Linked DNA regions of Struthio camelus. The protein of the gene in region 1 purifies or fractionates together with the protein of each later gene. This does not show direct contact. Links are inferred from orthologs where the notes say so. Each region holds a gene or a part of one and is shown on either strand. Other genes may lie near its edges.

The links.
Region 2: the proteins of MAP2K2 (region 1) and KSR1 purify together in Homo sapiens (affinity purification with mass spectrometry; 4 studies listed by BioGRID and IntAct, with this or other methods). This does not show direct contact. The link is inferred for Struthio camelus from reciprocal best matches to the Homo sapiens genes MAP2K2 and KSR1.

What each region holds. Positions count from the first base shown.
Region 1 is NC_090967.1:4,357,712-4,369,276, forward strand, and holds the start of MAP2K2 (dual specificity mitogen-activated protein kinase kinase 2), read right to left. Parts: upstream 4,351-11,565; 5' UTR 4,248-4,350; coding exon 4,162-4,247; intron 2,983-4,161; coding exon 2,772-2,982; intron 1,024-2,771; coding exon 877-1,023; intron 196-876; coding exon 118-195; intron 1-117. Other genes in the region: CREB3L3 (cyclic AMP-responsive element-binding protein 3-like protein 3), read left to right, coding at 7,987-8,109, 8,241-8,496, 8,748-8,863, 9,316-9,447, 9,531-9,637, 9,825-9,893, 10,085-10,169, 10,684-10,780 and 1 more. UniProt on the Homo sapiens protein: Catalyzes the concomitant phosphorylation of a threonine and a tyrosine residue in a Thr-Glu-Tyr sequence located in MAP kinases. Activates the ERK1 and ERK2 MAP kinases.
Region 2 is NC_090957.1:21,168,559-21,179,248, reverse strand, and holds the start of KSR1 (kinase suppressor of Ras 1), read right to left. Parts: upstream 5,492-10,690; 5' UTR 5,352-5,491; coding exon 5,097-5,351; intron 1-5,096.

The DNA.
Region 1 (11,565 bases):
AGCTCAGGATAGAAAAGCAGCACGTGGGAAAATGAAGAAAGCTTACTAAGGCAGGACAAGCACCGTTCCCAAAACGTGCCCAGCAAATACTTTCTGGAAGCCTGAAGAGTAACTTACCGCTATACTGACTTTCCCCAAGATCTCCTCAGGAATTCTCTTGGCTTCTTTCAACACTTGATCCAGAGAGCCGCCATCCTGAAACGACAAACAGAGAAATTATCAACACACCAAAGCCCAGCAGAAAAGCAGAGTAACTGGCCATGCAGTCTAGCATGCCTGCTGAGGTTAAGTGGTATATGAGCAGTATACAGCATCCCAGCCCAGCTGTCAGTAACAATTCGGCACCAAGAACCCTCCCATTAGGAGGGAAAAGATCTCTGATGATCTCTGTTAAAACTGGCTCTCACTGAAAACGATTTTAAAGCTGTCGTCTATCATCTCTACTTCTTGCTGTTAGCTTTTAGCATGCTTTCCCTTAGAGGTCAATGCAAAGATGATGCTGTCAGCACTGATCCAGAGGAGAAACAACACTCTTCCCTGCCAGAGACAACAGAAAACGCACACTGCACTTCGGGGAGTTCTGTAGAGTGGCAGGTTTACAACATTTCCGCTTGGCCGGCCCCCAAACCTCTGCTTCTGCTTTCCAGAAAGTCAACTTCTCTGTCATTTAGATGCCCAAGGAGGACCACGCAGCTTCTAGCAGGAGCTGAACGGCCTTGTTGCCCTCAAAGCAGCCAGAGCAAGAAGCCGTTGCAGCTGCCAGCTGAGAGCGCTAGCAGGCTTACCCACTTTGCCTGCAGTTTCAGTCTCGCTGAGATGCGACTCAGAACATGGAACCGGAGAGCAGCAGTTTGCAGGGGAGGAACACGGACTCACCATGTGCTCCATGCAGATGGAAATCTCCCCATCGCTGTAGAAGGCTCCATAGAAACCCACAATGTATGGGGAATTACACTCGTGCAGCACCTGCAGCTCCCGGATAATCTGATTCCTGATGGCTGGCTTGATTTCTAAATGAATCAGCTGCCAAGAAAGAAAAAAATAACATCAAAGTATAGTGCCTGGAAAAAAACTACGGGGCCATGAGAGCCTGTCCTCAGTGCCGGAAAGAAATTAAAAAGCACTCGAGGAAGCTCTGCTTTGACCTAGACTTTATTGTTTGCATGCTAAACATTAAGGATAAAGGGGACAACCAGCGTGCTGCGCAGCCTGTTAGCAACTGAAGCAACTGCAGGCCCAAGTAACATGCCGAGATCACACTGGCTACAGAGCAGAAAGATAACTCAGAAGTTGGGTGCAGATCTGACTCAGCACACAACATTTTCACAAGCTCTGTAGGTGTTGTAAGAATATAAGAGGTGTTCTGATATCAAAGAAACCACAGAAAGTAAAAAAACATGAAGATTATGCACTTGAAAGACCAACTGCATTATTCCTTGGGCTCCACGTAGAGTCAGCTAACAAAGTTGTGGGTAGGGAAGCCATAGAGGCTGGAAAACGTGACGCCAGGTTACAAAAGCAGCTACTGTTACTGTAAGCTCTAAGACCTCCCTCACCAGGGACTTCTGGCCTTCCTACAGGGCCACAAAGGCTGGTCTCTGCAGGGACGCACAGCACTGTGCTGCCTAACCTTGCCTTGAGCTTCAGTTTCTGAGCTGCAGTAATTTCAAAATCAGTTACATGTAATGCTCCCAAATCAAATGCCACAATGGAAAACCTCAGAGATGTCAGCTCCAAGGGAAGCTGCCTAAAGAAACATATTCGCTCTTGAGAACCACTGAACCTTGCCGTTACCTTGTAAACTGCTCCCACAGCAGCGAGAACAGAGACTTTCAAGGAAGTTGTCCCGTGGATTAGCGGTTGCGCTATTCCCTCACTGAGCATTGCCTTTTCTAACAGGCAGATAAAATATCTTCTCCTTTTCTATCACAGAGCATCACAACAAGAGATGACTCCCATAAACCCATGCTCGAGAGGCTCTGTTGTCATGACAGACTTGCAAGGCTGCTTGGAACTGTCTTGGGGATCAATTAAACGGAAGCTGGGGGGTGAGCCAGGCACACAAGACTTTCTCTTGTCTGTGCAGGAGCAGCTCAAAGCTCGGGCTTGCAGTAGGGGAGCTGCTGTGCTCACAGGGAATCCTTCTCTCTATAATTTCCACCAGGAATTTTCAGTCCTCATTAGCTACAACCTAAGACTCTCTGTTGCCTGTTTTCCCCATCCAGTTTAGCAGACGGAAAAAGAATAAACTCGCGTTTCCACAAAACACGTTGCAAAACCCCAGGGATCTGTTGCGGAGCGCGCTGCCCCTCCCCGGAGGGCCCACTGGTGAAGGGCGAAACGGCTGGATTGCTAAGAGACAAGGGGAGAGAGGCTACACACAAAACCCAGCTCAGGGCAGCAGGGACAGTCGTTACCAACCCAGGCGACGAGGTCTGTATGCAAATTTGTGGGGCTGAGCAGAGCCCATCTCACAAACACTACCTGGCTGCCAGGTTTGGCAAGAAGGTGCAGGAAACCAAATTCCCCTCCCTCTGTTACGCGCAACAGCCACCCCGGCTGACATCTCAAGGAGCCGCATCTATTCCCGGGGCAGGCAGGAGAGAATCGCCAGAGCAGACAACCAAGACGGATACCACTCAGTTCAGCGTGAGAACGGGTTAACGCAGAGAGATCCTGACCGAATCCGGCTTTCCTGGGGCTGGGATGAGCGCAATATGCCATTGCGCCTTACCTCTCCAGCAGGCCCCGGGCACCTGCCCCTCCGTTACCTTTCGTGCCATAATGAGTCCTGAGGGTTTGTGCTGCACTTTGGTGACCACGCCGCCGTTGCCGGCTCCCAGTTCAGAGATCCTCTCAAAGTCATCGTCCTTCAGCTCCCCGACCTTGGCTTTCTGGGTGAGAAAAGCTTCCAGGCGCTTCTTTTGCTGCTCATCCAGTTCCAATTCCTCGAGCTTCTTCTGAAGGTCTACTAGGTTCGCCCTGGAGAAAGACAAGGAGGAGAACGGAGAAACGGTCAGGAGTCTGCGGGGCCATCGCCAGAGAAAGGGGGCTTGTCCGGTCCTTTGCTCTAGCGGCAGAGGCAAAACGAAAGCACGGCTCACGACGGGTTAGAGAGGAGGGCCCAACCAGAGGGAAGAGACTCCCAAAACCGTTTAGTGGAAAACGTTTGACACTGCAGGGAAGGAGAGGGAAATAACAGAAAAGCCCCATCTTACGCGTAATCAGACCAAAACCGTGATATAGCAGAGAGACTAAAACAAAGCTCAGGAGAGACGCAAGGCTTGGCTACGCTGCTGATGGGGACGTGCGGGCAGCAGAGACCAGTGATGCAATGTCTGCCCAACACTTGCATCTCTTCCAGAGAGGTTTTTTAATACAGTCAGCTGTCTCAGGAAACCCCAAGGAGCGGGGAAAATCGTTCGGCCCTTAAAGGGGCAGCAGAGCTCAGCCCGGGGAGAGCGACAGCACCAGCGAGCAACCTCTCGCTCCGCAAGCGCAGGGAGCCGAGCTTGGGTTTCACGGCGAAACACGAGAAGGCCCTTTCCAGGCGTCCAGCAAATCCCCCTGCTCCGTTACACCCCCGGCCGCCCCTCCGCTCGCCCGAGCACAAAGGGATGTCTGTGCTCCCCCAGCACCTGCTGCCCGGGGCGCCCGGCGCGGGCCTACGCGCCTCCTAACCCGGCTCCAGCCTCCTCCTCCGCCCCAGAGCGGCGGGGGGGACCCGAGCCAGCAGGCTCGGAGCCCCACGGGCGGCTCTGCCCCCCCCCCCCCAAGCTTTCACCGCCCGGCAGCCCCCGACCCCAGTGCCGCATCCTGCTCCCCCTGAGCCCTAGTCGCTCCCCTCCCTCCCCCAAAACTGCCCCCGGCCCCCAGCCTGGCTTCCCTGTCCCCTGCCCTCTAGGACTAGCCCCCCACCCCACCTCGCCTCAGCCCCCCAACGCCGGCCAGCGCTGCCGGGACACCCCCCCCCCCTCCGGCTTTGCCCAGCTGCCCCCTGGTCCCCAGCCACCCTGGGGGCCCGGCCCCCTCCCCACCTCCTGCCTCCCGCCGGCTCTCCCACCCCGTCCCCAGGCCGGGCCCATCCTGCCGCCCGGGGCCGCGGCGGTGGCAGCGCCGTGACGGCGCAGACCGGCGGCGGCCGCCGCCCCACTCACTCACTCGGCGGAGCCGTCGGGGCTGGGCCCCTCGGCGGGGCTGGGGGCGATGTTGAGGGCCGGCAGCACCGGCTTCCTCTTGGCGGGCATGGCCGCGCCGGGCCGTGCGGGGCCTAGCGGGGGCGCGGCCGCATGGCCGCGGGGGCGCGCCAACGAGCGCGCGCGGGAGGGGATGGGGGCGGGGCCGAGCCGCGGGGGCGGGGCCGAGCCGCGGGCGGCGGCGGGAGGGGCGGGGCGGCGGCGTCTCGCGAGAGCGCGGGGCGGGTCTCGCGGGAGCGCGCGCCGGCGGGAGCGCGCGCGGGGGGGGGAGGTGGAGGAGGGGAGGGAAAGGGCGAGGGCGGAGGGAGGAGATGGCGGCGCGGGGTGAGGGAAGGAGGACGGAGGAGAGGGAGGGACGGGGAGAAGGCGGCGAAGGCCCGGGCAGGGGGACGGAGGGGGCTCCGGGAGGGCGACGGCGGCGGGGACGGACAACCCCAGCCGAAGGGACAAAGGCTGCAGAGCCAGGCAGAAGGGGGCCGTCGGGCAGCGGGCGTCACAGGGAAGGAGCGGGCGTCAGGCGTCGGGTCCTTCCCAGGCCTGCCCCGCCGGCCGCCCCGGCCCCCTCGGTCGCTCTCGGCGGCCCCGCGCGCCCAGCAAAGGCCGAGGGTAACGGTCGAGGGCCTTAACGAAGCGGGGCGGTTAGCAGCCTCGGCCGCTGCGGGCCGGCCTCGCCCTCACGCCTCCCGCCGCCGAGGAGCCGGCCGGCCTCGCCCGGCCGCGGCCCCGGGAGGCCGAAGAGAGGCCGGCGCCGGGGCCGGGATGGCGGCGGCTCCAGGCCGAGCCGCGCGCCCTTTGCTCGGGCGCCAGGGGGTTCCCGTCTCCGGCAGCAGGGCAATAAACGCGCGCGGCGGGGCCGGGAGCGGCGGCGTCACCGCGGGGGCGGAGGGGTAAAACCGCGGCCTCGCGCCCGGCCCGGCTCCCGTCGCCGCCAGGCCCCCGTTTTCCGCCCGGCTCTCCCCCTCCTCGCTGAGGGCGAAGGCTCTCGGCGTGGTGCCCGGGCTTCCAGGGACCCGCTGTGACACCTCCATCCCGGGGACGGGCACGGGGACGAGCCGCCTGGCCCCTGCTCGAGGGTCCCGCCGCGGCCGAGCCGGGCCGGCGCTGGGTGCCCCACCGGATCGGGCCGCCGTGCCTGATCAGAGGGCGTCGCGCAGCGAGATAACGGCCGCGGGCAGCGGGCGGGTGCCAGGCGCACGGCCTTGTCCTCGCCGTCCCGCTTGCCACACCTCGGTCACACGCTTTCTTACTCACCGGGGCTCCCGGTTCGCCGCTGGGCTGCCACACGGGGAGCTGCAAGAGGCCAAACCCTTCCCTTCCCCGCGCCGTGGCCCAGCTGCACTGCCTGGCCCAGCTCAGGCCGTGGCTGGCTCTTCCCTCCTCAAAGGTGTTTCTCCCCATGGAGAGGGGTCTCGGGGTGGGGTTATACCTACCGACGGAGAGCAGGATCGGACCATGAGTCTCCAAAATGCTGGTCTGGCAAGGCAATGAGGGAGCTCTGTGGCACAAAGGAGCTCTGGTGGCATCTAGGTGGGGGTCTGGAGGCCAAGTGGACCCAGTCTGGGTAAGGAAGGAGGATGCCCAGGCCCGTGTAAATCTGTGTCATGATGTTAAATCCCCCAAGGGGGCTGTCCGAGCGCAGGTGCCTTTCCGGGACGTCAGGCCCGGGGTTTTTTCCATCCCACTGGAGTTTGGGGTCATGGCGTGGAGGGTGCTGTGGCTGACGTGCCTCCGGGCTGACGCCCTCACCACAGGGAGAGGGAAACGTGGGAAAGCAGCAGCCAACAAACTCCAACCCTTAGCAGGGAAACTGAGGCACGGAGGGCAGGGGCTAGCCCTCGTGGGAGCACCGGCCTGGGTGGCAGCACCCAGGCGTCCAGCCCAGCAGCTCTCACCCTGGTCCCCGGGACCAGAAGGGGTCAACATTTGTTGAGCACAAGATAAGTAGCAGAGTCCAAGTCAACATTTTCCCCGGATGTTGTTCTCAACACCTATATAACGCAATTAATGCTGATACGCTGATCTAAAAAAAGGGAAATTGGGCCCGAAATGGGTGAAAGTTCATTGGCAGCTGCGGCAGCCGGGACTTTGCCCCACCAGCCCTGGCCCCTCCTGCCCCCCCTTAGCGGAGGAGGACAAAAACATTTAGCTAATGAATTACGGAGCGGCGCAGGTCCTTCCTGGCAGCCCGGCCATCACTCAGCGCTGATCCCCAATCAGGGCCCGGGTGATTTTGCAATCCTTGATGCTATTTCTGTGTGGTTGGAGTTTAAACTTTGCCACTTGGGTCAGGGCACCGCAGAGGAGGAGGAGGCTGGCTTCGGTGTCCGGCCCGCTCCCTCTGCGTGCCAAGGGGGTTCGAAGGACGGGACGGACCCACAGACCCTGCTCCGCTAGAGCTGGGATCTAGCACAGGTAGGTCCTGGCTGCCAGCACTCACCGCTGGGCACTCGAGCCGCTCCGTCAGCCCCGGGGCCGATGGGGCTTGCTGGCAGGAGAGAGCGAGCGTGACGAGGAGCGATGAACCCCCGTCCTGGGGACGGCTGGGCAAATGTCATGTTCCCAAACTGGGCTTGAAGGGCTCTTTGGGTGGGTGGTCAATAGGTTGGGAGGGTCAGAGGGGTGGTGGATTGGGTGGTTGGGTGGTAGTTTGATAATCGATTGGGTGGCCGGTTGGTCATTCGATCAGTCAGTTGGGCAGTTGGTTGGTCGGTCAGTCGGTCAGTAGGTTGGTTGATTGGTCAGTCAGTTAGTCAATCAATTGGCTGGCTGGCTGATTGGCCATTTGGTCTGTTGGTTGGTCAGTTGATTGATTCGGCTGGTTGACTAGTTGGGTGGGGTTGGTCAACTAGTTGGCCAGTTGGTCAGCCAGCTGGTTGGTCACCTGGTCCGTTGGCCAGCTGGTTGGGTCTGGGGTATCAAACCGTCCCTGATAACTGGCGCGTTCCTGGTAGACCAGGGCTGAGTCCCCTTCTCGGGGCCGGCCAACAGTAGCTGCCCCTGCCCCCACCATGTTAACCACCCAAAATGATTAACCTGATCTTCCCGAGCACGTCGCGCGTGGCGGATGGGTCTGTTGGGGAAGCTGAGCAGCACCCAGGCCTGGGTGCCCCTCGTCCTCCTGTTCCAGGGGTGCCGGGGCAAGTGTGTGCCCGTGGGGAGGGTCAGCCCTGGCTTTGCAGTTCTCTTGGGGGAAAAAACATAGGGAGTGGGAGTTTCAGCCACTGGAAGGGGGCAGAGGGAGGGACCCAGCTTCAGCAGAGCTACCCCTGGGCCCCCAAGTCTGTGCATGCACATGTGTGCCCGGCCATATACGTGCTCTGCCTCCCACACGTGCACATGCGGAGACCTGGGCTTGCCTGGATGCGCTCGCACACTCACAAATACGTGGGTACGTCTGTCCAGATATGCCCACAAGCACGCAGCTGCATGGCCGTGCACCGGCACATGGTCACACGCTTGCAGGTATGCACACATGCACGTGGCCCCACACACACACGTGTCAGCATGGTCACAGCCACCTACCTACACATCTGCCTGCTCCTACGCACGTGTCCACATAGTCACAACTGTGCGCACGTGTGTAGAGACATGTCCCCACAGTCTCACACACGTGTCCCTTGCACCAGCCCTGTGCCCATCCCACAATTCGGGGTGTCCTCGGGCGCCCCAGCCCTGGGGTCATGCCGTTCAGGGGAGGTGGCTGGGCCCTGGGGAGGAGGGCAGAGGCCAGCGGTGACCATGGGGCAGGGGGGACCGGGGCCGGTGGCCTGACCCTGCCGCCTCCCCAGCCATGGCCTCCAGCGTGGGCGGCCTCAACAGCCTCGACCTGCTGGACTTCCTCTTCGACCGCGAGGACGGGATCCTCCGCGGCATGGAGCTGCGGATGCCCGCGGGCCCCTGGCAGCAGGACGCGGTGAGTCCCGGTGGGGCGGCCTGCCTCGCACGAGAGCCCGAACCCTGGACCTTGCCAGATGGGTGCCCCGTGGAGACGGGTGCCCCGTGGGGACAGGTGCACCACGGTGACGGGCGCCCCTGTCCCTGCAGCGTGCCCAGGACAGCAAGGACTTCATCAGCTCCATCCTGGGCTCCGGGGACTCAGCATCGGACTCTCCCGGCTGGTCGCCAGCTGCCAGTGACAGCGGGGTCTCCGAGGACCCCCCCTCCGACCAGCTCGACAGCCCCCTGGGGTGCTGCGACGGGGGGCTCGGCGAGGCCTCCTACCCCTACTCCGACCCCGGCCAGCCCCTGCTCCTCCTGGGGGTGCCTGGGGCCCCGCGCCCCGAGGTCTCCATCGACCTGGGTGAGCTGTGGGGAGAGACCGGGCTGGGCACTGGGGGAGCTGGGGGCACTTAGGGGTACTGGAGGGGACTGGACAGGCTGGGGAGAACTGGCAGGTCTGGGGGACTGGGAAGAACTGGGGAACCGGGAGGAACTGGGCAGACTGGGATTAATGGGGGAGGAGCTGGAGGAGCTGGCCAGGAGTCCTGCACTGGGGTCGGGGGGGACACAAGACACGGCACTGCTGACAGCACCCGCTCTTCTCTTGCCCAGACATGTGGCACCCGGGCTTCTTCCTGGAGGAGAGCCAGGACCCACCTGCGGCCCCCGCGCCAGCATCCTGCACCCTCACCGTCAAGGACCTGCTGCTCTCAGGCAGCTCTGACCCCGTGAGTCCCTGTCCCCTTGTCCCCACCCCTTACCTTCCCTGAACCTTGGTCCCATCTCCATCCCTGTCGCCTGTTCAACCATGATCCCATCCTCATCCCTGAACTATGGTTCCATCCCCATCCCTGTCCCCATCACTGTCCCTGCTTGGCCATGGTCCCATCTCCATCCCTGTCGCCTGTTCAACCATGATCCCATCCTCATCCCTGAACCATGGACCCAACCCCATCCCTGTCCCCATCTCTGTCCCTTCCTGAACCATGGTCCCATCCATATCCACATCCCTCTCCCTGTACCCTCCTGGACCATGGTCCCATCCCCAACCCCAACTTTGCTGTTACCTCTGGGGCCTTGGTCCCTTGGAGGAGGGGGGTCCCTCGGCCCCCATGGTCCCTCGGGGTGGGTGCGGGGTAACCCCGCACCCTGGGGACATCACCAGTCCATGGCCCTGCAGCAGCTGCCGGTGCCCAGCTCCCTGCTGCGGCAGAGCCAGGGGCAGTGCCAGGAGCTGGTGCTGACGGAGGACGAGAAGAAGCTGCTGGCGAAGGAGGGGGTGTCCCTGCCCACGCAGCTGCCCCTCACCAAGGTGGGTCCCACAGCAGCCGGGCGCAGGGCGTGGGCACTGCGGCCACTGGGGTCCCCAGCCACCCTGACCCCTGTCTCCCCCAGTATGAGGAGCGGGTGCTGAAGAAGATCCGGAGGAAGATCCGGAACAAGCAGTCGGCTCAGGAGAGCCGCAAGAAGAAAAAGGAGTATATCGACGGGCTGGAGAGCCGGTATGGCCCCCCCCCAACCCCTGAACCTGGCCTGTTCCCGGGGTGGCTGCACCCCAATCCCCTGGGCTGGCATCCACATCCTGCCCCAGGCACCCATGGGTGCACCCGGCAGTGGTGCCCCAAGCTGGGTGGTGCTGGGGTCTGGGCCATCGCCTCCTTACCCCATCTCCCTCTCCCCGTCTCCCAGGATGTCGGCGTGCACGGCCCAGAACCAGGAGCTGCAGAGGAAGGTCCTGCACCTGGAGAAGCAGAACTCGTAGGTGCCCCACAGGGGACAAGGGGCAGACAGGGACACAAGGGGCACAACGGGGACATGGGGATCACGATGTGACCGTGGGGGGTGAGAACCCCCCCCCCAGGCAAGCTCTGCGGGGGGCAGGAGGGGCTCGGAGGAGAGTCCCAGCCCAGCTTGACCTCGGGGTGCTGATGAGGTCTCCCTGTCCCCAGGTCCCTCCTGGAGCAGCTGAAGAAGCTCCAGGCCCTCGTGGTGCAGTCGACCAACAAGGCAGCGCAGACAGGCACCTGCATCACAGTGCGTTGACCCCTCGCTTCCTCAGCTGTGGACCCCAAAACCCCTGGCCCCAACTTCTCCAGCCTCCCCTCAGGCCCCAAAACCCCTCTATGGCCACCCTGCTTGGAGGGAGGGAAGGAGGAAAGAAAGGAGGGCTGCAGGGATGGATGGAGGTGTGTGGCAGCAGTGTGCAAGGAGGGAGGGAGGGGTAGATAAAGCCATGCAAGGACAGACGGATGGAAGAAGGGTCGGAGGTGTGCTAGGGTGGAGGGACAGATGCTCCGAGGATGGATGGAGGGGATAGAGTGTGATGGGATGGAGGAACAGAGGGACACAAGAGTGGATGGATGGAAGAGGGGATGGAGGTGTGCTAGGGTAGAAGCACATGAGGATAGATGGAGGAAGGGATGAACAGAGGCGTGCTGGCAGGGGCACGTGGGCAGGGAGGGATGGTGGGACACAGACCTGGCTCTGTTGTGAGCCGTGTCCCAGAGTCTGACCCCCTCCACACGGTGACGTCCCCCTCTGCCCTCAGGTCCTGCTGCTCTCCTTTGCGCTCATCGTCTTCCCCTCCGTCAGCCCCTTCGCCTCCAGCAAGGCTGAGCCAGACGGCGACTTCGGGCCGGTGCGAGGTGAGGAGGGCTGGGAGGGCGGCGCGTTGGCGTGTGGGGCACTGGAGCAGGCCCTGACCCTCCTTCGTGTGCAGTTTTCTCCAGGTCCCTGCATAACGCGGCGGCCTCACGCGTGGCCTACATGCAGCCCCAGCCCGGGGACGAGAAGCCCCCAGAGCCGCTGTGGCCAGAGCGCCCGGGTGAAGCCCCCGAGATCCTGCACAAAGCCTTCGGCAGCCACACGTCCCCCCCGCACCCGGACAGAGCCTCCCCCCGCAACAGCACGCAGCCGCTCACCCCACCAGTACTGAGCCATGGTGATGGGGACGGGGATGGCACCATGCCAGGGGACGGTGCCACACCACCGCTCACCTGGACCAAGGCTGGCCACAGCAGGCCAATGGTGCTGGAGGCAGCTGAGGAGCTTTAAGCAGCACCTAGGACCATGGGGGACAGTGGGGTGGCTTAGCACCTCATCCCCTATGGGACAGGCCCTCAAAGCGGCCCTGCTGGCGTCCCCACTCCAGGCGTGGGCAGAGGCTGGACCCATTTGGCTTTGCTCTTATCTGTGAGCTGGGAAGGGGCAACTGGTTCCCACTGGCCTTGCTGGGAGGGAAGGGGCTGTCCTCAGCCCCCCTGGGGGCAGCAGCAGTTGTGGGAGATGCAGGGTCCCCCAGGATGGGGACAAGGGGACATCAACATTGCAAGTTGTTAGTTTTGTTCTTTTTTTAGCTTCATTTTCATCTCTAAATAAAAGTTATTTTGGAAAAAATAAAAAAGAAAAGAAAAACTGCCTTAGCTGAGTA
Region 2 (10,690 bases), on another chromosome or scaffold:
TCTACAAACTTGGAAGGAAGCAGAACTATGTATTATTACCAAGTCAAACAGATTCTCTTTGGAAGTGTATCTTATACAAGTAAGTGCACAAACTTAGGAAAAAAGAACGTCTTACAAAAAAAAAGACAGATACCTTTGAGGAAAAACAGGTATGCTGCATGTATGCAAAAAGTAAGATGAAATAGGAGAAGAAGAAAATCTCTTACATAAGACCTGTTGGAAAAGGAAGTCTTCAGCTGAGCAAGTCTCACAAACATGTGGCTACAGGTTGCAGTTTGGCCTGAAAAATTCATTACTCTTACTGCTTACAACTTACAAATAATACAGTCTTCCCTTTGTGTATACCACATGCCCAACTTCCAGTGTGCAAGTTTGGACTACTGCAATTCTTCTTCCTCTCCTCTTATGCTCCCCTCATTGTCCCTCATTTTCAAAGCATTTGCTTCTGTTTTGAGATTGCTTGTTAAGAGATAAGCTTTTTATAGAAAAATTGCCAAATACATCAGGATCTGTCAATGCAAGTTCAAACATATTTAATTCACAGGTATCATTCAGCCAGTTCGAAAGGGTGATTTGTGGAGTTGTAGACTTGTCTGTGACACAGCACAGCTGGAGTCAGGCTTTTCGATATCACATCATGCTTTCCAGGGGTGCTGAACAGAAGGTAGCCCTGAGGAAGAGGTCAAAGTGATCTTTGCACACTAGGCCAAGAGTGTCTCTAGTCACAGAGGTATTCTAGTCAAAATGCAATGAAGATTTTTTTTTTTTTTTTTAAAAACTGGCAGATCTTAGCGATGCGTACTACAGCCCCACCCTGACAGAGCCATCATAACCAGTTTGGAAGCTGCTTCCTTGCCAGAAACAGTTAGCTCTCATGATGTAAAAACTAAGGTAGAAAAAATACTTTGGCAATCTAAATACACTTTAGAGGTCAGTTCAGCTTGGTCCTGCTTCATCTTTGTGGCAATTAACGTTGGAAAAAGTGCCCTGCTTAGTCTGGCAATTCCTGCAGTTTATAAAACCAGCTATGCTGTCTTCAGCAGAAGAGACTGGGAAACCAAAAGAACTTGCAACCAACACATAAGACTATATTCTCTTCTTTATCTCAACAGACTGGCTTGAGCTATAATGTTAGAGGTTTCATGTGCCTTGCTACAGATTGCCAAGTCTTGTTCTGTTATCAGCTTCCTAGCCAGAGACACAGATCCAGAGAGTTACCACTTTCATAAAGAAGTATGGCTAAAAATAGCATGCTTATAACTGTGCTAAGACAATTTACAAGTTGTGCAAGGGATTAGCATAGGGATAGAGTTAAAAACTGTCAAGAGTTGCTTCTTTCCAAGGATGCATGGAGGAGTATTGGTGCTCGCCACACCGCAAGACGTTTTTTCTCTCTGAGGTATGGTTTAAGATTACCATTATTTTCCATTTCAATTTTGAAGCCTACTTGAGAAGTGAGTAAACCTGCTATGACAGAACTGAAAGTAAGCCATATACTGAAATGCTGGGTAAAAAGAAAAACACTCAAGCACTTATTCAGCAGAACATATAAAAATTAAAAAATACAAGACCTTGTGGTATCAGAGAACCTGCTCTGTTAATAACCAAACTAACAGAGTCTACTTTGCATTGCAGGGAAACTCCCTACCCTTCTAAGAAACAGCCTTACTACACATGAAACAGGGCCAGCTCATGTAACATATCTACCCTCAGCAAGTTATTTGCAAGCAATTCCCACAGGCCTGTATTCCCTCCTCTTCTTTCTGCATTACAGAAAGTTCTCCCTGCAATCATTAGAGCTAAAATGAGTATATATGCTTATTTTTACTTATCAAAGTCCCAGTTTGACATCCTTATCCACCATGTGCTTTAGTTTGGGAAGAGCATATACACACACTTAAGCAGAATGCATTTCAATAAATTGGAAGGAACATAAGCAGACACTGAATTACCTTTGCTTAGGTTGATGTTCTTGACTTTGAAACACGCATACTATGAATCATGCGATGTATATTGTAATATATACATCGAGTTGTGAACAGACTCAGAAGGAAGAGGTACCAAAAGGACCAACTAGTAGTTTAAGGTAAAAATAAAATAACACAGAAATTAAGATTAATTTTCACTGGTGTTTAGTGTCTAAAACTGCTTTCAGAACTTTACTTCAGGGCTTTGCTAACTGTGGGACTAGAAGTGGTAAACAGCACACACTGCAGTCTGATCTGTGTTGCTCTAAAGTTTAAACAGCCATGTACACCTGACAGTATTCACCCTCACACACAGGCAGTCAGAATGCCTATGGCTCACTGAGATATAAGTTTCCCTTCAAGGAGGTATCCCTCCACCTGTAGGTTCACAGTGCTGACACCAAAAACTAGGCATCACAAAACTTTTGCAAACCTATGAGCTATAAAGAAAGTGCATCATGGACACTCCCCCACTTTTTTGTTCCTTCAAATTAAAAAAAAAAAAAAAAAAAAAAGGGCTGACTTTTGACCTAATATATTGGACTGCCTTCAGAACACATACATGCAGCCTCATATTTGGCCTCAGGAGCCTACTGAGTAGTGGCCTACTTCAACTTCCAAGGTCAAGTCCCCTCTCTTCCTAAACTAGTACTTCCTGTTTCCAGTTTGCTTCTTGTATCTATCTCATGTTTTATCATATCCTTGTGGCTTTGCTACAGTTTATGTTATACTGTTTCAGCTAAGTTTTTTCATAACTCTTTTTCCATGAAAAAGTTTCCACACAAGAACAAAAAACACTTATGGATTCAAATCTGAAGTACAGATGGGGCTTGCAGGCCCAGCAACCATACCACTAGTAGCCACTAACCACGATCCACAAAGTCATTCAGTGACTCGTCAAGGCCACCCAGAGAATGGCAGCAGACATTAGAAATCTTCAGACTTCAAAGTCCAAGCTTTTGGTTAAAATTACGGACTAGTGAGGACTTACCTACAGTCTGTGCAATAACTGCACTGCAGTCAGATCACCAGTAGCACTGGATCTGTGCAATACTGGAGCATCTGTCTGTGCCAACTTGATCTGATATGCAAATGTCTATGACCAAACATGCATGCATTTCTGTCACGCTAACCAAGGCACAATAGTTGCGTTGTGTAGTGCCACAGGCAGACCACCTGCTATTCGAGATAGCAATGCAGCCTACCGCAGTCTGGGCGTCTCTCTGGGAAATTACAACTTACAGAAGTAAACACAGACCCTCATCTCCTACGGTTTAATTCTCTGCTCTGTGGCTGTAGACAAATCTACTTCAGACACAGACAGTTGTTGAGCTCAAGACTCCTTGACAGCACATATTTTGGTAGAGGTAACCAAACAGAGTAAAGGGCAGAGTCCATCAAGTCCATCCTCATGCCTGTAGCTTCACATGTTGGCAAAGATTTAGCATTTGGTTGAATTCCCAGAGAAATCATATAGCAGACAGTGCATCAGAGAGAAATATTTCACCACCAGTGAATGTGGCACCCATTTGTTTACGCAGTTAAATGTTTAAGAAGAATGTGTGCATAGACTAGACAACTATCACTAGAAAGTTTTTGTTGCCTTAAGAAGAATCGGAAGACCATAGCACGCCTTTATCCCTTGTAAATAAAGATTTCCTTTTAGAATGGGCCACGAGCAAAGTACTACTGATGATTTTCCAAAATGATGCTGATTGTTATTGTTTGGGTATTGAAAAAGCAGTTACTAGGATTGCAAAAAGTCTGCACAAATGTTGTTTTATAAAGAATAGCAGTGTTTTCTCTTACTTTTTGAAGGCTATTTGGAGGTGGCAAGAGGAAGAAAAGAGTACTATCAGTTAAAAAAAATGCAGGGGAAGGGAGAAGGAAAAATGACAGGTTTCTAAGAGATTGTGCCAAGAGCTACCACCTATTGTTTTTACAGGTTTTTTTTTTCCAAATTTCTCATGTGATGATTTCACAGAATATCTGTTTGTTACAGTTATTCTGTTGTAATGATGCTTCTTCTTAAAGGTCTGATGGTCTAGCTCTACAGCCCCTACTATCGCACTAGAGAAAAGGGCCATTAGCCTTTATATGAAACTTCTGGTCAAGGATGAGGGTTAGGAGTTGTCTACCATACTTAGAGCAATATCACCTGCATACAAGGTAAAAGAAAATGTTATTTCAGTTTCTAAAGGTCAGAAGAAGCAAACAAAAACAAATCCAAATTCTCCTTCTCAATACTTAGGCAGACTTGAGTGTGTCTGTACAGACTTGGTCCTTGTTTGAAAGCATCATGCTCTGTGCATCAGGAGTTTCCTACAACCTCTCTAAGCAGCGGAACATCTCTCCAGCCTGGGCTGTGGTGCTGCTGTCAGCCACCCCGACGGAGCAAAAAGGAGGATCAAATTAGATCAGTGAAACTGAGCCAGGAATAGAAAGACAGGCCTGGAAGTACAGGGCAGGAGCCATTAGAAGCAAACACCAAAGAGCAGGACCAGTGGGAGAAGGTATCTCCAGCTGTCTGTGGACAACAGATGCAGTGTCCCAGCTCCTGCCAGGGAGCCTGCGCTCATCTCTGCTCTCTGCCCTGCCTCGCATCCACCTCTGCAGAGGATGAAACGCAGAGACCAGCCACTGGCCAGCAGCGCCGGGGCTGCGCAGCCGGATGGGGGGCAGCGGGCACGGACACGCGAGGCAAATGCAGCTCTCCCTCAATGCAGACTCCTCCGACAGCCCTGCCGCACCCCAAATTTGCCCGCCAGCCGCGGGATGCGGGCCCCAGGCCCTCCCCACGGGCCTGCCCCTTCTCGGGCGCCCCCCCCCTTCACCTCAACCCCCTCCGCAGGGCGCCGCTTCGGGGCCGTGTTGCAGGGCAAGGATCTGGGGCCGCGGATGCCCCGAGAGGGCCGGGCCCAGGCGACCCCGGCTGACAGGGCGGCGGGGGGCCTCCCTCCCGCTCCCCGCGGCGGAGGAAGGGGCCACGCACCGGCGAGGCGGCGCGGCCCGGCGGCGCTTCCCGCTGCCGCTGCTGAGGGGAGAGGGCGCCGGGGCCGGGCGGGGAGGGGGCGGGCAGGCCCCGGCGGCGGGGGGCAGGCCTCGAGCCGCGGCTGCCGGGCCCCGTACCTCTAGGGTGCGGATCTCCTGCTGCGTGAGGTCGTTGGACGCGGCGCACTTCGTGCGCAGCCCGCGCAGGTTGGACAGCGAGATGTCGATGAGGTCCTGGAGCAGCCCGCACTGCTGCAGCGTGCTCCGCACGGCCGGCAAGCCCCGCACGGCCGGCCCCGGCCCCGCCGCGCCCGCCCGGGCCGCCGCCTCGCCGCCGCTCCGCTCCTTCCTCTCCAGCATGCCGGCGGCTCGCAGGGCAGCCGCTCTATCCATTCCTCGGCATCAGGGAGGCCGGCGAGGAGAGGCGGCGGCGGCGGGGGGGGAAGAGGGGGAAGGCAGGCGAGCGGGCGGGCGGCGGTTCGCTCCGCTCCGCCTCCCCGAGCAGTTGCCGCGCATTAACATGCACGCCGGCGAGCCACCGCGGGCGCGGCCGCCCCGCGCAGGCGGCGGGCGCTCCGCGAGGGGGCGCGGGCGGCTCCTCCGCACGCCCCCTCAGCGCCCGCCCGGGTCCCCCTCAGAGCCTGCCGCAGCCGCCCGCCTCGGCCCCTCAGCGCCCGCCACAGCCTCGTTAGCGCCCCCTCCCTCAGCGCCCGCCACAGCCTCGTTAGCGCCCCCTCCCTCAGCGCCCGCCACAGCCTCATTAGTGCCCCTCCCTCAGCACCCGCCACAGCCTCGCCACCGCCCCCCTCAGCGCCCGCCCTTCAGCACCCACCGCAGCCTCATTAGTGCCCCTCCCTCAGCACCCACCACAGCCTCGCCACCGCCCCCCTCAGCGCCCGCCCTTCAGCACCCACCGCAGCCTCATTAGTGCCCCTCCCTCAGCACCCGCCACAGCCTCGCCACCGCCCCCCTCAGCGCCCGCCCTTCAGCACCCACCGCAGCCTCATTAGTGCCCCTCCCTCAGCACCCGCCACAGCCTCGCCACCGCCCCCCTCAGCGCCCGCCCTTCAGCACCCACCGCAGCCTCATTAGTGCCCCTCCCTCAGCACCCGCCACAGCCTCGCCACCGCCCCCCTCAGCGCCCGCCCTTCAGCACCCACCGCAGCCTCATTAGTGCCCCTCCCTCAGCACCCGCCACAGCCTCGCCACCGCCCCCCTCAGCGCCCGCCCTTCAGCACCCACCGCAGCCTCATTAGTGCCCCTCCCTCAGCACCCGCCACAGCTTCGCCACCGCCCCCCTCAGCGCCCGCCACAGCCTCGTTAGCGCCCCCTCCCTCAGTGCCCGCCACAGCCTCGCCACCACCCCCTCCCTCAGCGCCCGCCCTTCAGCACCCGCCACAGCCTCGTTAGCGCCCCTCCCTCAGCGCCCGCCCTTCAGCACCCGCCACAGCCTCGTTAGCGCCCCCTCCCTCAGCACCCGCCACAGCCCCTCAGCGCCCGCAGGAGGCTCCTTCAGCCCCTGCCACAGCCTCGCCACCACCCCCCTCTGCACCCACTGTGGCCTCGTTAGCGCCCCTCTCTCAGTGCCTGTCACAGCCCCTCAGTGCCCCCTCCTTCAGCGCCCACCACAGCACCTGCTCTAGCCTTGCCACCCTCAGTGCCTGCCACAGCCTTGCCAGCACTGCTCCCTCAGCACCCGCCACAGCTTTGTTACCACCGCCCCCAGCCCCCATGGCCCCCGCCATGTCGAGACTTGCAGCTCGGCCCCCCAGCAGTCAGCCCCGCTGCGGCCGCCCCCGGGGAGGTGTGAGGCCGCAAGGGAGCTGTGTGGGCCCGGCCCTGGAGGGAGCAGAGCGCAGCGCAGCGAGGTGAGCCCGTCCCCATGCCTGCACAGGGGGCAGAGGCAGCTGGGGCCCGGACGTGGGTTAAAACCCGTGTGGAAAGGGCGGTGCTGTTTCCCTGCCCTCGCAGGGCGCCTGTCCTAATGGGGCAGCCGGCTGCGGGAAGGCCAGACCTGCCTGTGGTGTGGCGTGAAATCCGAGAGTTACAGTTTAACCAATACTAGTGATGTCTGTGGAATTACACCGAAACAAACCAAGAATTAGCCTTATCTGAGTTGCTTATTAGGGTCTGTGGAGAGTTTGTCTAAAATAGCCTTTCCCAAATGTCCTATAAATCGATGCTATGTGTCTTATTTGACATAAACACTTACTCAGTAAAGAATAAGTGCAGGTCTAGTATGTGAAGTGGGCATTATTATAAACATCTTTTAGTGAATATAAACACTGCAGTGCAGTAGTCATGTGGGTTCATTCGTATCATGAAGAGGAAGGAACTTTATTATGGTATCCTGGAACCTCAGTGGCTTCAAATTTCACAACAGAAACATCAGGAAAAAAAAAAAAAGCTACAGGTAACTACATTATAGATGCATTTGATTTTATATCCTGATAGTCACCCTGAACTGCAGTTTATTAGCACACTGTATGAGATGTCAATGCACTAATAATACATTTCCTAACTGTTACCAGATTTACTTATCTGCAGCAAAGGATTCAGAAAGACAATTCAGTTGCATGCTGCTGACAGCAGAAGAGCAACTGCTTAATTAGGGCTGAATTGATACCAGGTTTTAAAGTCAAAAAATGACATCTAAGCCACATGTGGCAATACACACAAACTCACAGAAGTGAGTTTTATGCAAAAAAGTGGGGGAAATATGATTACGGGATATGAGGCATATGTACAGTGTAACTGGTCTCCACTGGAGCAGGGTAAATTAGTTGACACTGAGCTGCTTTCTCATGGTTAGATGGATACTGGTATCCATGTTAGTTTGGCTGCACGTGCCCCAAGTAGAGGGCCATATGCTGTTTTGTAATTTCCTTAAGCACGTAGATCAAGCAAAGTATTTTATTTCATTGTTGTTATTCACATACTGTAAATTTCATACACGTTGTAAGGCCTTCCTTGGTTTAGGGTTTACTTAGTTTGCCAACTAATGAGTTCTGTGGTTTCGGGAAAGTCACTTACTTGTTTTACTTATTATTACCTCCATTTTCCCAACCTTATAAAAAGATCTGCAATCCCCCCTTTTTCCCCCCAGGATCACTGCAAATTTCTGATAGTCTGCCACACTGAAGTCCTCAAATGCAGGTGACTGTGGAATGGGCAAATATTATTACAGGGATATTATTCTCGTAGACATCCTCTATCTATCTACCTGGGAACATTCATTTGCTAATAGAGGACAAACCAGGTTTGTTGCATAAGAAAGCAAACTAGGAAAAGAGTGGACTGTGCATCACAAGACATTTGGCATTCTCAACGAGGGGTGGTGTATCACATGCGGAGTGTCGGCCTAATTAACTGGCTACCATAAGCGGGCAGCATTCCAGCCCCCGGCATACGAGACTACTCTCCAGGCTGAAATGGAAAAATGTGCTGACTAAACATTCTGCAAGCTCCCTGCGTTCATGTTCCTACTCAGCATTGCTCACGTGTTCATGAGGCTGTCACATTCACTGTGGAAGCAGATAACACACAAGTGAGCTATTCTCTTACTGGCTGGCTATTTTGACTCCAGTAGCAAGGGTGAAAGGAGAGGCACAGAGCTACACACACTAAACCACAGGGAAACCATTGTCTCATGCCGAGGTGAACCCCACAGTTGTTAGCACAGGACTGCAACCTTGGGTGTCCCACAGAGTTGCAGCCTGCGTCATACAGGGTGAGCACTGAAGAGACACGATATTGAGATACCAGGAGCAGATGTTTGTGAAGATGGAGGGGGAGAGGGAGTGTAATTTTCCTAATTTCATGGATGTAGCCAGCAGTATTCCACAGGAGCGTATCCCTTATTCCAGCCCCACAAAAGGAGTCATAACAGAGCATCCCCATATACTACTTACATGGTGGGATGCAAATTCCATCCCCCTGTTCACACACACACGCATATTTTGGGGCCTTCAGTTAATTTCTTATACACACTGTGTTTTATGTGAGGCCAGTTTTGAGACTGTGTATTGGAGAACGCAACTCAGAGCAAGGGGGGAAAAAAATGATTTCAACTCCGTTTGCTTCTTGAGCCTACTGAGCAGTATTTCCCCACATCTTGCACCTTGTATAGACAATGCAAATATTCTACCATGTTGACCCTGTTGTGATTTGTCATAGTCTTTGCGCTGAAAATAAAAATACAGAAAAAAATGGGAGGAAAGCATGTCTATTGGCAACCGAGCTCAGGTTCCTGTTTCACCACAGACTTCACGTGTGGTCTTGGATAATTTGTCTGGAATCTCAGTTGTCTATAAAAAAGGTGCTAACAACACATTGCTTTCTCAGAGGGCTTGAAGAGAGAAATACAGTGGTTGGTCAGTGCTAGAGCTGCCCTATGAGCACTCTGAATGAGCTGTGTTTTGCCCAGAGATTTAGGAAAATAACATTTTTATGCCATGTATCATACATACATTTATTGACACACACTTGTTAGAACTTTTCTTGGTTGTACTGTGTGTGTAGTAGAGCTAAGAACTGCATTCTCTAGAGGAAAACAATTTTTTTTTTTCCTGAGTCGGAGGAGCCACAAGCACATGGTATATGTCATTCAGATGGGAAGAATGCAGTAGCCTTTTTTGCATGTAGAAAAACAATAGTTTTGAAAACAACAATAGACTGTTGAACGCCTAAACCAGGTCAGAGAGAACTGCTAAATGCTTGCTTCAGCCACTGATCTAAGAATTGAAAGGATTCCCTCCCCCCTCCCCCACCTTGTCCACAGAGACTAAGTTCTCCGGGACAAGGATTTTCCTTTGCTAACTACCATAATAAAGCCCTAATCTCACTAATCGCCTCTAGCAAGTCCTGCCCTATAGACCATATCAAGAGTCTTCAGCTCAGTAACATAAGCACACTGGAGAAAAGCAGAGACTTTTTTTTTTCTTTTTTTTCTTTCCTCCTCAAAGAAAGAAAAGCACTGATGCATTTCACATGCTGCTTTTAAGAAAGGCTTCTATTACCTTTTTAGCTAGCTTGCCCCAATTTCATTCAGCTATCACAACACTGAATTTAGATGATGATACTGAATTACTCAATTTGATGTGTTTAACACAGATAATAGAAACCTGTTTTAAGAAAATGCACTGTTGGGATTTGAAGAGCTGAAATGTTAGGTGTTTCAGATAAAAGAGGCCTTTATTATCGATGATCTTCCCCTCAAAGGCTTCCTCCTACACAGACAGTATGAGTATTCCTTTCTCATTTCAGCACAGCACAATAGTACACAGTAGTTTTGGCATACTTGTCTACTGTGAAGTTGAGAAACTTCAGTCCTATTTTTAGACATGCTACTGGATATTCTTTTTAGGATATACAGAGAAAGTGAAGATGGTGAGACGGTGGCCACAGAACAAATTCTTCCTGTTTTTCTCAGCTTAAGTGTCTCCATTGCCTGCAATTGAGCCAAACCATTTTGTATCCGTTTAAGATTTGGTCCTGTACCTTTAAGAAAATGGTAGGATAGGTCCACTTCCACTTTTTCAGACCAGCTTTTTTTTTCTCTTTTTCTGCACAGCTGCCCCTTTTGTGAGCTTAATGCACTAATTACATTAGAGGCCCAGTTGGGCAGGCAAAACACCCACTTCTTTCTATCAGCTTATTTTTCCCTCCTTTGTATCACCTGTCATCAGAGAACCCAGGAATTTAATAGGGTCTTCTGCAAGTTAAGATGTTTG